2 linked regions of the Mytilus edulis genome follow. The protein of the gene in region 1 interacts with the protein of each later gene in a pairwise test. Links are inferred from orthologs where the notes say so. Each region holds a gene or a part of one and is shown on either strand. Other genes may lie near its edges.

Region 1 (8,099 bases):
GCAGTTATTTTTCATGCTATCGCTCTATAATATAAGATATTCGTAAAAATACCAATGTGCATAAATCCATATAGACATTTCACTTATGTTATTTAAATATTGTGAAAATCACACGTGAATGTTAGCGTGTGTGCACATTTCAGTCCAGCCTGGTCTATTTAACTTGAAAATCACCCAACCTGCAACTCGACTGAAGTTTTTTTTAGGGAAATAGGAATAACATGTATGTGTTTTAAAGACAAATTGATGAAAACTAGCTAGTAAGGAATGAAGAAAAACAGTTATCTCTGGTACACACTGGATGGAAAAAAGATATTTAACTTTATCTTGTTTTCATATTACCGGTATGTGTTCCTGTGGTTAAATGTAAAAATATTAAAAGAGCATTAGCTGTCAAATTCTTGTTCACCGATTTGACTCAAATTATAAAAAGTCTAACATAAATGATTTACAATGCATGGACTCGGTAATATCTATCAGCGTTTCGTGTGTTAGTAATTAAAGGTAATTAATCATCAAGGTGACCTCTGAAAACTTGCAAGTGCATAATAATCAAACTATGGGGTGTACGGCGATTGTTGGGCGTTCAGGCAGTTAGCTTCATCGTTTTTGTGCAATAGCTTATAAAACCATTAAAACAATGCTTATCAAAAATTAACATGTTGTTATTGATGAATAAAGAGGTCAAGCTCGATATTGATGATTTTTCACATTTGCCCTTCGATTAAGAGCGATGGTCTTCATTGATTGGAAAATGGCATTTATGTCGTTTGAAATCGTGTAATAAATGGCGAACCGTTTAACCGATATTTTTCAACTTTTTGTATGTTACAGCCGATTGCATTGGGTGTAGGTAAAGGAAATAATGACTTCACGGTTCAGCTAGCTAGCAAGCAAGCTAAGCAAAGATATTTCCTTTACCTACCTACTCAATGCAATCGGCTGTAATTGTTGCAAATTATTTTTTTTCAATTTGGAAATTGCTGCCCGAAAAGTTTAACATCTGTCTCTCCGGAGTATTGGGAGTATTTGATAATATGAATATAGCACTGCATGTGATTATTGTTTCCGTGCAATAAGATGAGAACTTTTCAACTATTGTTTTCTTCTTCATCAAATTTTATATGACTTTTGTTATTACTGTTGTCAAAATAAAAGCAATTTTCAATTTTGTCGTTCAGGCCATGATTTAGGACCCTTAGAGCCTTTAACAATGACACTTATAATGGTAATAAGATAACTCGGTTTGTTGTCATTTTAACAGCCTCTTGAAGTTAATTTTGTAAGTTTATGGTCAATAAATATGTAAAAGTTGATAAAGCCAACAAAACTCATAATTCCACAATTTAAGTTTGGTAGTGGTTTTATGGAGAATAACGCTTTAAATTTTTCTTACATAAGAAACCTACTTTAACTTTATCTCCACCAAATATTTGCGCGGCCGACGAAAGTCAAGAACTCTGTAAGTGCTCGTCTTTATACTGAAATTAAACTTAATGTTGGTTGCTTCAATGATTGAATTATTCAAAGCTTAGTGACTATGCAGAGCGCATCTATCCGATCAACTCGAAATAAAGGATACAACAGGATATACCCCATATATCATTGATTTTATTTTTGCTGGTCATATCTGAAAAGGTTTATTAAATAAGACAAAATAATAAGATGTAATTTTATTATTTTACAGTTGCGTAATGTTCAGCGGCAAATGTTTCGTGCGATCATTGAATCTACGGCACAGAACAACTGCAACGCTATTACTTGCATCAAACTATGATGCTGTCTACTGAAGTTTAGGATGCATAAAACTAGTCGTTCTATCAGATTTATAAATTTTCATGATGAGATCTGCAATTGTTAAAGTAAACACCGACAAGTTCGACTAAGGTTGTGGACAGCACAGCACTACATACATAGACACAAGTCAGGTCATCCAAAAATGACAACTGCTTCATGCGAATCAGATACGAATCGCTACCACACACACGTGCTAAAGAAATTAAGTGTGTAGTCATTGGGTACAAGACTCAGATACAGGCATTATATCTGGGTACTTTAAGATGGATACGTTTTGGATACTGTGGTTTATTTAGTTTAGTTTAATTTAAATAAAATGTTATTCAAATAAATTGAATTGGTTTGTTTGCATAACATATTGTTTAAATTAAACTAAACTAATAAGTAACTGTAAAATGATTATTTTGTCTGACACTGTATTAAATGTGGATACTTTATGGATACTGTTAGTTGGATACTTTCTGGATACTGTTAGTTGAATACTTTCTGGATACTGTTAGTTGGATACTTTCTGGATACTGTTAGTTGGATACTTTCTGGATACTGTTAGTTGGATACTTTCTAGATACTGTAAGGTGGACTTTTTAAATACTGTAAAGTGTCTACTTTCTGAATACTTTCTAGATACTGTAAGGTAGATTCTTTCTAGATACTTTCTGGATTCTGTAAGGTGGATGCTTTCTGGACTCTGTAAGGTGGATACTTTTTGATACTGTAATTTAAGGTGGATACTTTTTAATACTGTAATGTGGATACTTTGTAGGGACTGTAAGGTGGATACTTTCTAGATACTGTAGGGTTGACACTTTCTGGATACTGTAGGGATGACACTTTCTGGATATTGTAAGGTTGACACTTTCTAGATACTGTAAGGTTGACACTTTCTATATATTGTAAGGTTGACACTTTCTAGATACTGTAAGGTTGACACTTTCTAGGTACTGTAAGGTGGATATTTTCGCGAAGTCATGATTTCTTTTCATAAATGGTTGGCTTTGAGCGTTCCTGATGAAAGTAAATCCAGAAAAGCGGTGTTTTGCTTTTGCGCCAATTAGTATTTCATTTGCGCCAAAAAAATCTTTCATTTGCGCCACAAACAATATTTCATTTGCCCCAAAATAAAACCTTTTGATTGCGCCAATATTACAGGTAAATACATATAAATAGCATAAAACATATATTTAAAAAAAGACTTTTGATAATAAAAGCTTTTGTTTGCAAAATTAAATATATTCCTCAGAAATCAGTCGACATTAAACCAAACAAGTATTGTTAAACCTTAATGAAACAGAGTTCTGTTATTAATAAACGTTATCATAACACCTACTATGAAATATGAAAGACAACAGTTTACACTGGAGTTAATCTAAGCATGAAACACTATTGTAAAGTTATACGTCTACCCTGGCACCAAACTTGTAAGCGACGGCCTTGATGTATTCATGTCTGGAAAGTTCCTCCTCTCAAGTGCATACCATATTGATAAAAAAGATAGACCGTTTTTTTTTCATGAACTGCAGTCCATTTCAATTGTTATACTGGTTTTGCAAGGTTTTATTTATTTGGGATCCCAATAAACGACTTGGTCTTCATTTTTCAGAACGTATGATCTGAAAAAAAGTGTGGTCATCAAATTTTACACACTTAATTCTCCGCCTGTTTTATGTCTAAATAGAAAATGTCCATTTTGACACCTCGAACATGTGAACACTATATACAATTGTACACCTTAGTGACTCTCAACTTCAGAATTGAGTGTGGCATTGAACTCATCCCGTTATCCAGAGAAATACTGTAAAGACAAACCTTTTAGAGCAATGAATATTTAACGTTTCCGTTATTGCTTGCCCGAATTACCTGAAAATGGCGCAAATGAGGTTTTTATTTTTTGGCGCAAATGAAATATAACCTTGTGGCGCAAATGAAAGATTGTCATTTTCAAAAATTGGCGCAAATGCAATGCACCCCCAGAAAAGCGTCTGACTCATGAAATTATTAAACTTGTTATTTTCAACTTTGTAAACCAGTACTAGCTATAGTATATAAGCGATGTGCCACCAGTATATACCGCTTTTATGTCTAAATGAAACACTTAGAGGTTTAGCTAGCTATAAAACCAGGTTCAATCCACCATTTTCTATATTTGAAAATGGCATCCGTTTGAAAATGCCTGTACCAAGTCAGGAATATGACAGTTCTTGTCCATTCGTTTTTGATGCGTTTTGTTATTTGATTTTGCCATGTGATTATGGACTTTCCGAATTGATTTTCCTCTGAGTTCAGTATTTTTGTAGTTTTACTTTTTAAACTCAAAACAACTTTATAGACTACTGCATGAGTTCATACTAAATTTCTCAGTTTTATATGAAATGTATTTTTGATACGAAATAACCATTGGTCATCTACTTGTGTACACAAACGATAAAATGTATTTTAAATACTGTATACAGCTTGATTGAAACTACGCCTATAAATATATTGTCTTAATTTTTTTTCTGTCATTTTCTAATGGTTTATTTGACATTTATAGCTTTATCATTTTTTGGGAAAATGGAATCGAATAAAGTGTTGATGGCAGTTTTTCTGTTTAATTCAAACTTATATATACTGGATGTTGCCAACTAGATTTCTCTTGATTATTTTCATCTTTGGTTTGCTATAAATTTACTAACGGCAAAGATGACAAAAGAATTGATAAGACTGAAACATGTCAAAGTGGCTTGGTTCTTCATGGTGCCAAGAAATATATCCTTTACATTATTAAAATTTAGTAAATCTTTACTACACTCAAGGATTTGTATAATAACACTATACAAATCCTTGCTACACTGAAAAATAACTATATGTAATAAAAAGTAAATATTTCGAGACCTAATTTCTCTTATATATATTAAAAAATTATCAACAAATTGTTTGTGACTTTCTGTCCGTTTACCTTGGATAATAATGGGCCATTCTAATATTTAACCTAGTTATAGTTCAGAGACATTTTATTATTTTTAAGCCTTACACAACGAAATCGAGAACGAAATATAAAGCGCTGCATGATAACACTAAATTATACAAATGTAATGTACTTTTAAATAATTCCATAGAAATAATCCAAATCCAATCAAATCTTCCTTTTTGATTTGTTTTCCTTATTCAAAACAGAAATATAGTATTGTTGGATACGCCATGCAGTTCATAAGTGATCCTCCGTCTATCCATTTATTTTGGTCCGTTCCTATACTATATATATATTATATTTTTGTTTGGTCTTGAACTATTTCTGTCCACTTATTACTTCCCTTGGATAAAATACCGACATGGCGACACAACAAATCGACATCGCCCAGTTGCCAATTGAACAACTTAACCAATTGGCTAAACAATTAGACCAGGTTCAAACTTAGCATTACTAAAGTTTCACATTTATGTAACCCGCACACCAAAATTCGAAATAGAAATTACAATAGAATAAGCTTTTTGATCATTGTCATCGACATCGTGCTATTACATGAAATATTTTAAATAATTATATATAATCCTTTTCAGAATTCTATCGGGACCGATTTCCCATTTAACTGACCACATATTACATTATCAAGCCCATGGATCTCCTGTAGTTGGTGATCGCAATACTGGTATAAAAATTTTGTACCAGTATTGTCACTTTTAAAAAAACCCAGCAATACTGGTACATTACTGATGTACCAGTATTACCTGTAAGATACCTGTAAGATCGTTGTGGGGCTCATATGGAAGGATCCTATCCTTTTTAGCCCACCCTATTTTGGTACACTTTCAAAACTGATACAATCATCAATCCTGCATGATTTGGTGCAATATTTCACACAATTCTCAGATCCGGACATCCTGGCATTTAAATTTTTCAAGGGGTGATGCAGATAGGATTCCTCTAGATTTTTCATCTATTTGAAGGTGTTAACTGATTATTTATATTGTTGATTATTTTTTAACCAAAGGATATAGTATGATAAAAATCAAAATGGAGATATTATATAGTGTCTTTAACAATATTAAGTGGGTAAAATTACTAGATTCAACTGGTGTCAATATATATCAGTTAAATTAATTACATTGAAGTGTATGGAAAATCTAGAGGATTCTTATCCGCATCACCTCTCAGCATTGTTTATGTAACACATATATGCTAATCATTGATTGGTCAGTTACATGTTGTGATGTCACTGCAGATCTGAGAATTAAAAAGTTATATAGAAAACTATTTGTGTCCTCATCAATTTCTTAACTGATACATGACTGACTCCCAATGACAGTCTATACTAATTTTAAAGGCTTCCACAGTTTTTGATGAAATAACTTCAACTGGTAGGTTATTCCAATCATTAATAATTCGTTGTGAGAAATGTCTTAATCGAAAAGAAGTGTTACATCAAGGTTTTGCTAATTTCCAATTATGCCCACGGGTATTTGTACTGATGACAGTAAAAAATCTTTCATAAGATATATCTTCGAATCCTTTTAATATTTTGAAAGCTTGTATCATATCACCTCTTCGCCTTCTGTGAGTTAGGGAAGGTAGTTTAAGTACTTTTAATCTGTCTTCATAGCTTAAATGTCGTATATCAGGAATTAATTTAGTTGCTCTCATCTGCACTTTTTCTACAGCATTAATATCTTTCTTTAAATGCGGATACCATATTGTATTTCCGTATTCCACGTGTGGTCGTACCAACGCAACGTATAGTCTTAAAAATGTATATTGATCTTTAAAGATAAAAGTTCGGTTAATTAGCCCAAGTATACTATTGGCTTTATTTATTTTACTTGATATATGTTGAGTTGTATTATTGTAGTTGTATTATTGACTATACTTAAAGATTTAAAATGAAAAATGAATTTTGAAGCAAAATTGGATATTGAAGATCAAAGGGAGGTTAAATGAACTTGAAAAGATTGTAGAGGATAATCGTGAAATCTATTAACAACCAATTAAAATTAATTAAAATATATACTTGTACAAATAAACAAAGGATTATTGTTATTAACTCATATTATTCAAATAATTGTTAATTATAATATAAATATTTGCTAAAAAATTTATGATATTTCTATAATTTATTTAATTCAATTTAGATAGAAAATAAAAAATAAAAGCTTATTATCAGAGTTATTATTTTTAATAAATTCAAGCAAATAATTACACTTTAAGGTTCTCATTACTTGACGTTCAATTGAAAATGAAAGTAATAATCTTATTATTCATTTTATGTATTAAAAGACAAAATAAATCAAAGAACTATTTCATGTGGAAGTTTATAAAATGAATGTAGAAAAGGCTTGAATTGATGGGTCTCTGTGAAAATTGTCCAAACATGAGTAATTAAGGCCACAATAAAAAATATTTCAGTTTGCCCAAACCCGACAAATGATGACTGGGAGTGGGTAGGTAGGTAGGCAAATTCCTTTTTTTTTATCAGAATTTGCATGAAAATGTTAAAACAGTACAAATTCAATGTATATCTTTTTTTCCGTCAAACAATCAAAAACCAGAATTTAACACCTCTATAAATTAGTCTACTATATAGAATTAAATCACTCAACAATAAACTGAACTTTATTTATAATGTGTAGACTTAAACACAACATATAAACGTTAACACTGAGACTAAAATAAAAAATCAACATTTTTGTCCATATACTGAGACTTAGAATAAAAAATCAACATTTGAAAGGTATTTTTTTTTTTACAGTAAAAGTAGCAAACTTAAGTTTATTGTCAAATTCCTATACAACCTCAATAGGTTCACTCATGTCAGGCCCGAAAGTTTGTAGCCACTGTTGTTGGATACAGTAACAACTACGTCATCAGTTTTCTGCATGTCCATCTCATCAGGATCGGCATCCTCATCAAAAACATCATTCCAGGTTTTCCTTTTGTTAAAGCGGTGAAGCCTTTTAGACACAATAGTCTTTATTTTTTGGTTAATTTTAAGAAGTACAGACGACGACAGCGTAAAAAAACTGCCATGACACATGTTTTGCTTCTTTACTTAAATGTACGTTCATTAAATCAGAAGATAAATACCCAGAACATTGAATATCGATTAACTGCGTCTTTTACACGCTTTCTTTTAATCTTAGTCACAGTTACTTTCAAACGCAAAGACGACGATCATTAAGTTTTATACGATGACGGAGTGGACACCAAAAAATCTGAAGAAAAGAAAAAAAACGGCAAAAAAAGAATTTGAGTCAGCGTTGTTTTTATTTTAAGACAGTCAGATTTGGGCAAACATACAATATTTTTATTTTGGCCTAAAGGGTTGCAGGTA
Region 2 (8,038 bases), about 32 Mb from region 1:
TGTTCAACTGTTAAAAAGTGCATACAAAATATCCACTACCTCATATATCATTGCAAGGATTTGTATAGTGAGAACTATAAAAATCCTTGATCATTGTATATATAACTAAAATACGCATTTAGTTAAGAGAAAAATATATATACATCAACCCCAAAAAATGTGAAATAATTAAGTAAATATTTCTGGACAACCCCTTCCTTATTTTTACTGTTTTTGCTTAAATTACTGTTAAAATATGTATATTAAACAAATCTATAAACATGGGTGCCGAATTGACTATATAAAGTGCCGATTTAACCAGGTGCCAATTTGACTAGGTGCCGATTTGACTATACTGAGTGCCGATTTGACCGGGTACCGATTTAACCAGGTGCCGATTTGACTAGAATTCAATACAACTGACAATGACTGATCACCCAGCTGAATATGCTCTAAATAAAAACAAAGCAATTAGTCAAAAACTTGATGCCTCAAATCGAACATTCTCAGTAGTCCCTAAATTTAGTCCTGGTAACTTAGTGCTTACATTCACTGCCGGTGCCTATGAGGAATTTAAAATCGTGACCTTGAGTGTGCTTCAGGGTGAGGGGCTCTCAATAAGAAGGACTAATACGACCGACGTAAATAAAGCAGTAGTCTCTGAATCTGTCGTTGTCAATGATGCACAGAACAAACTCTATGTATCTGATGTATTAAACTTTTACAATACCTCGTCAAAAGTAGTTTTGAATGGTAATCAGCTACATATGTCAGTTTATATTTCGTCAACCCTACCTGATATCTTGAATGTATTAGACCATAACAAGGATTTCATAACAATTAACAGTAAAATCAGACAATGCTGCACTGCATATCTTAACTCAAATCAGACTAGTTGCACTCGACCAACTGACATTAATACTAGTATTCAACAAGATCAGTGTCAACATTCTAAACTAAATAGTGCTTCCGCATCTTTAAAGTCACTAATAAATGCTTCTGATCAACAACAAAATGACTACTGTCCTATATGTGAAAATCTTTGTAGTTCTGACAATAAGGCTGTTGAATGTGAAATCTGTAATAAATGGCTTCATTATAAATGTGAAAATCTTACTGTTAACATGGTTAAGGAGGTTGATGAGATAGAGAATGATCTTACACTTCAATATAATTGTAACAGCTGCAAAACTTTAAAATCATTGCAATCAGATCTACTTGTTTCTCATTTAAAACATGCTCCGTAAAACACTGGTATTCAACCAACCACAAGTATACGGTCACGTTCAGAAAATAGCAATCCTTCTACAAACTTGAGTCACCCCACAGTTCTGTGCTCCACTCCGCCACATTTAACTAACTGTAACATACATGTATACCTATTCCTTTAACCATCAGTGCCATTCCAATGACAACATGTAATAACACTAACATTTTAGAAGAGGAAATAAAATATTTAAAATCTCAACTTGGACTAAAAGATAAGCAACTTAAAACCAAAGAATTGCTCATTTGTAAACAAGATTCCGAAAAAAAATTAATGAAAAAAGAATTGGCTACTGACAGAGCCCTCACTATTAAATTAGAGCAAGATGAAAAGGATCTTGAACATTCCTTATTGATAAAACAACAAAACCCTAGCAATACAGTACATGAACCATCTGCGTCGAGAAGATAATTCTAGATCATATGCCATGGAACAACGTGTGTGTTCATAAGAATTTGAAATACTTAAACAAGACAATAAAATTTCAAATTTAGCTGATAAATTCATCGACTTTAAAATAGAGAATGGACGTAAACAACCGAGAACACGAAAGAACAAACAAAATGTGACCAATAATCAAACTGCTGACTAGTTTAAGTATGAGAAACCTTCAAATGACTCTTGTACTAACATTTTATTTGATTCTGAGCTTGAAATGCATGATGACGAGGTAGGAGATGAACAATCTCCTGTTCATAGTATACATGGTATATCATATACTGAACAGTACCCTTTTTTAGGCTAAGTTCGTGCGCCGAAAAGACACCTGCCACATATGAATTATTCTCCACCAAAGAAACCAATGTACATGTACCACCCTCCTCCAACAAGACAGAGAATTCCGAATCATGTCCGTCAACCAAATGTCCATCGACAATACCAAGTGATCCCGAGATTTCAGAACCAGAGTCCACAATTTCACCCTCGATTCAGTCTAGAATTTAACATCACATTTGTTAAACAGTCAGGGGACTTACTTAAATAAGTGATTTTCTAAATCACTGATTCAAGTAACATTATTTCCATAAAGGTTGGAAGTTAGAGTTGTCTTTCTTTAATAATCACCTATTTAAGTAGTACAAATTAATCACTAGAAGAAGTGATTTAATTTTACTGTAGCTTTAAATATAGAATACTAATGACCCAGGGACTAATTATGTTTCTAAACTTATCAGAACCAACATCTGTGTTGTCTAGGATGACCAGGTCATTTCAGGTGATGACCTTGTACTGAATCTAGGATAATGACATAAAAATCACTTGTTTAAGTATCAGACCTCAATTTCCTTCCCAAAAATCACTTCTTTAAGTATCATTCTTTTAATTTATAACCCCCACTAATTTCAACACCCCCGAACAGTGAAATTTTTATCGCGAACAGTAGAATTTTATTACATAATCTGAAAGATGAAACCTTGAACTTCACAAGAAAAATACTGCCACTGCTGGAAAAAATCTTTTAAGAAAGTATCAGTTCATTATGTAAAGCCATTATTATAGCATTTTTTCAACTAAAATAGAATTTAGCATCAAAGGCATAAACCTTGCTACTTAAAAGAAGCAAAAAGTTCATTTTTTTAAATTTTACTAATTAAAAGATATTATTTAAACCTATGTGTTTAAAATTTTGAAAAAACTACAAAATCCAAATTTGTGACAAAACCTCGAATTTGCTACTCAAATAAGTGATTTTAAAATCACTTATTTCAGTAAGTCCCCTGACTGTTAAATATTTTATCTTTTAACATTGAAGGCCTGACCTCTAATTTAGCGTATCTTTATAAACTTATTAAAAGATCTGATATTATTTTACTTCAAGAGCACTGGCTCTATAGCCATGAGAAGGATAATTTGTATAATAATTTTACTGATTTTAACTGTCACATAAAATGTTTTGACGATGGAATTATTGATGATGTAGTTGACAGAAAACGCACACATGCTGGGGTCGCAATTTGCGTAAATAATATATAATCCATATTTGGAGAAACTCCCTGATGGAAATAATAGAATTGCCGCAATATGTTTGAACTTTGATGTACCTCTGGAATTCAGCGGAAATCCACAAAAGAATTCTTGGTATCTTTAAAAACAGTATTGATAATGATAACTCTGTCGAACGTGACTTAGCATTCCGTCAACTTGCAATGAAATCCAAGTCATGAAACAGTTGGTTTCGTAAAATAGTAACTATCACAGAATTATATGATCTACCGTCACCTCATGATCTACTTGTCAGCCCTCCTTCAAAGTCTAAATGGAAAAAAACTGGTTAACTCCTCTGTAAGCTACTACTGGATAATTAAACTAAAATCTGATGTGTCAAAAAAATGATCTTTAAATCTTTCAAACTATGACATGTATGATGATGCAGAATTTGGAAGCATTCATCCTATTTGGAATACTTGTGGATCTGAACCTTACTCTACGTTACGTGCCTGCATCAAATCCAAATTAGTGTGTAATACATACTCTTCAATGCGACAATTCTAAATTTAGTAAACGACAAGTCAGTGCAATTTGTCCGTTATGTGGAACTGAGGAAGAGAACCGGGTACATTTTGTTTTGAGATGCAGTAAATTAAATAATGCGAGAAACAGCTTTATACAGAGTCTAAAAACTTTTATAAAAGATGTTGTATCAACTAAACTTTACGATGAACTAATTTGTTCCGAAATTAACACTTTCATGACTTTACAGTTAATTATTCACTAGAGGACTTAGCTGCGAAAAAGTAGCTCTATAATTGTCCTTTGATTTTTTTTTTGCCATATCAAAACCTTTAAAAAAGAATTTGTAACTATTTTTCAATTTAAAAGTCCGCAAATATCAAAAATCATCAAAAGGATCTTAAGAGCTACGTTTTCGCAGCTATAGAGAACTATGCCAACAGGCCTTAAGATTGAGGATTGAGGCAGGTGGATCGACTTTATTGAGGTAGTACTAATGAATCAATATCAATCAGCTTTATAATGAAAAAGTGCTCAACTGTGACAATTGTTAATTTGAAATGGGGCAACAAACATTTTGAAGTCCATTGACTTTCCCTCCAGTTTCTGATATGTATATTCATGGGATGTACTTATTCTCCTGAGTAAATAGAGGTGGTGGTTAATGTGTATAAACAAACAATATTAGTGCATTGGATTAAATGACAATTTAAATGATATTCACACTGAAAAGTGGGTCGTCTGATATAGGCGGAACAGTACAGACTAAAGTAAAGTAAGTAAGGCAGCAACCATTTGATTTTCTGGGGGGGGCTATGGTTTTTTTTTCTGGACAAACTTTTTTTTTTCGCCTACGGCGAAAAACAATCTATTTTTTTCGCGACAAGTCGAAAACAATTTTTTTTTCTTTCAATTTTAGCATTACATATAGTGGCAGCTGAGGGTGAAACAAACTTTTTTTTCCAAAAAAAAACCATAGCCCCCCCCCCCCCCCCCCCCCCTAAAGTAAAGTAACTCATAGTCTGACATACATGCATACCACATCTTATTATTTTGAAATATATGACAACTATTGCAAATGATATTTTAATGAAAAATATTATTTGCCTTGACACACAGTTTGAAGTTATTCAAATAAACATAATTGTTTAACCTTTCTTATGCCTGATGAATTCATTTTGTCAGTCAAATATTAGCAGCTCTCATTGAAGAAGGTGAGTTTTATAATGTTAAAAGTAAAAGTAGAAGTAGCAATGCAACGTTTAATTGGATTGGACAAGTGCTCTGAAATTGACCAATCAAAATTAGTTTGCCAGAAAATCTCTTCTGTTTCAATATGGCCGAACTTCAGAAACGATTGCAGAGCGATATAGAAAAATATGACGCATTCCAGAAAGGTAAAACTAATTACAAATTATCTTGATGACGATAAAAAGTGTGAACAACACACTGAGATAATTTGATAAATGTCCATCTCTATCGTTTTATACGTCCAGCTATGTCATAGTGTCAGTGAAGTCATGTTTTTATATCCATGGTCACAGACACACATGTTTATAATAATTTGAAAGGTAAACTATTCTTATATAATAGATCGACGTCGCCTAGTGCCTGGAATCTGGGTCCGTTCGCGCCCATTCACTTTCGCACACGATCACGTTCGCGCCCTTTCACTTTCGCACCCTACACGTTCGCGCCCAAGTTTTATTGGTTTTGTGTTTGATAACTTTATAACCAAGTTTTGGCAAGTGTATTCATATTAGTATATTTGTTTTCATTGTCTCAAAATAAAGTGAGACAACGTGTTTTTTGTGTTGAATAAATCTTAATCATAATTTGCCGGATAGTGTATTGTTAAAATATTTTTAATCATTTAAATAAAGTGAGATTCTGACGACCGGGATTTTCGGGTGGAATAAATCTTAAATATTAATCAATTTTGGTTAGTGTATTGCTATAATTTTTTTATCTATAAATTGTTTCAGGTGCGAACATGTAGGATGCGAAAAGTGTATTGGGCGCGAACAGACCTGATACCTAGTGCCTGTGTCCATGATCACCATGCAATGGAATTCGTGGAAACAAGAGGTTTCGGTCTTTGTCGTTTCGTCCATGTGCTAGTCCCATTTATTTATTAATACCATTTATTTATTAATATGAGGTCTTGAAAGAAGTTCTGGATTGGGGTCCTTCAATTCTACATTCTTTACTGTTTTTGAAAAAATTTCGGTATTCTTTAAAAAATTTGCCCATCATTCTTCCTTCTAGTCCGAATAGTTATGAAGTCTGGCGAGGCTATATTAATTTTTTTCTGGGACGCCTTCCTTTGAAAAATTTAAAGATAAGATAGCCTTGCCAGACGTCATAATTATTTGGACTATCTCTCTTCTAAATATTTTATATGATGACGTATACACTATTCTTTAATATTTTAGTCTATTTTTCTCTATTTACTTTTTTTCTCTTTATTTTAAACTTTTTGCCCATTATTCACTCTTCTTTGCCTCTTGTTCATGTTGTTACGCTTTTTCTTCGAAGATGTCCCACAAAAAAATTAAAATAGCCTTTCAAGATCAATTATATAGATAGCAATGTATTACATAAATGTATTAAAGTAGTTAAAGGTAAAACTTTTTATAAAATTCTACTTCTGTCATGTCTGTACAGGATAATGGCCACAATCAACTAACTGAATATTTTGCCATGACTTCTGTGCACATACAGACCCCTCCCCACACTGTTTTTTAAATTAGTTCAGCTTTGGCACCTAGGCTTTGAAAGCCTCAACTGTCAAATTATGCTCATGATGCTGATAAAGATACATATACACTAGAATACACCCGTGATATCGCGGGTCCGTGACTGAATTAAAGTATATAACTATGCGTAAGCCTTATTTTAATATTGGGATTGTCATCTGATAAAGTCATGCCGATTATAAGACGCACAGTTTTCTCTGCTTTCAAAATTTTTCTGTTTGAACACGTCGACCTGGAACTTATCAATTATTGGTAATATTAATTATTTGGAAAACAAAAGGTCCTGGAATGGAGTATTTTTTAATCAACAGCATTGTCCTATATAAATAAAGGCAACAGTAGTATACCGCTGTTCAAAACTCATAAATCCATGGACAAAAAACAAAATCGGGATAACAAACTAAAACCGAGGGAAACGCATTAAATATAAGAGGAGAACAACGACATAACACTAAAATGTAACACACATAGACAAAATCCCACGAGAATAACAAATATAACATATATACATGTATATAACATCAAAACCAAATACATGAATTTGGGATAGACAAGTACCGTGACACGTCTTATCGCAATGTGAATTTACACTCAAAAATGAGAGAAAGCAACCGACACAACGTTATAATGTAATACACACAGAAACGAACTATAATATAACAATGACCATATTCCTGACTTGGTACAGGGCATTTTTAAAGGAAAAAATGGTGGGTTGAACCTGGTTTTGTGGCATGCCAAACCTCACACTTTTATGGCCATGTAAAATATAACATCAAAATGACAACACAGGACTACAATATAAATAAATTGGAGAACACAATTGACAAAGAATCACACGAACAACAGCCAACAAAAGGCAACAAGTTCAAAATTTTAATACGCCAGAAGTGTATTTTGTCCACACAAGACCTATGTGTGACGCACAGATACAAAAGTTTGAAAGCCGAAACGAGTACAAAGTTGAACAGCATCGAGGACCAAAAGATCAAAAAGGTTGTGCCAAAAACGGCAAGGGTTTTCTGTTAAGTTACCAGAAAATCCCTATAATTTAGAGTAATTTATACTTTTGCAAACAGTAAATTTAATAAAATGAATATTCAAAAAATGTACATGATAAAGCTGAAGTATTAACTAATTACAGGAAACAACTGAAATACATTTACATAACCAGACATTATAAGTTATGCATATATTGGGGATTTTGAATCTGTTCAAAGTTTTGATTTTTCTACCCTATATCATGTATATACCACTTTGCCTCATATTCTTATTAAGAAAAAATTCACATCCCATATTAACTAGGCATTTAAAAAGTCAGAATGCGAGTACATATGTTCAAACTCTTTTAGGTCATTTTTTAGTAGCAATTAACAAATTAAAAGAACTATGTCAATTGGACATGCTTTGATACTATATATGCCCTTGAATTTTTGCTTGATAACATTTTTGTTCGCTTTGGAGATTCCGTATATCGTCAAGTTATTGGAATTCCAATGGGGACTAACTGTGCACCTCTTATTGCGGACCTGTTTTTGTATTGTTATGAGTTACAATTTATGACTAAAATTAGCAAAGACCC

Evidence for each region.
Region 2: the proteins of prefoldin subunit 5-like (region 1) and prefoldin subunit 6-like interact in a two-hybrid assay, tested with the Caenorhabditis elegans proteins (2 studies listed by BioGRID). The link is inferred for Mytilus edulis from reciprocal best matches to the Caenorhabditis elegans genes pfd-5 and pfd-6.

The regions. Positions count from the first base shown.
Region 1 is NC_092345.1:32,217,461-32,225,559, forward strand, and holds the start of prefoldin subunit 5-like, read left to right. Parts: upstream 1-5,061; 5' UTR 5,062-5,105; coding exon 5,106-5,180; intron 5,181-8,099. UniProt on the Caenorhabditis elegans protein: Binds specifically to cytosolic chaperonin (c-CPN) and transfers target proteins to it. Binds to nascent polypeptide chain and promotes folding in an environment in which there are many competing pathways for nonnative proteins.
Region 2 is NC_092345.1:388,695-396,732, reverse strand, and holds the start of prefoldin subunit 6-like, read left to right. Parts: upstream 1-4,935; 5' UTR 4,936-5,033; coding exon 5,034-5,094; intron 5,095-8,038. Other genes in the region: surfeit locus protein 1-like, read right to left, coding at 4,851-4,874. UniProt on the Caenorhabditis elegans protein: Binds specifically to cytosolic chaperonin (c-CPN) and transfers target proteins to it. Binds to nascent polypeptide chain and promotes folding in an environment in which there are many competing pathways for nonnative proteins.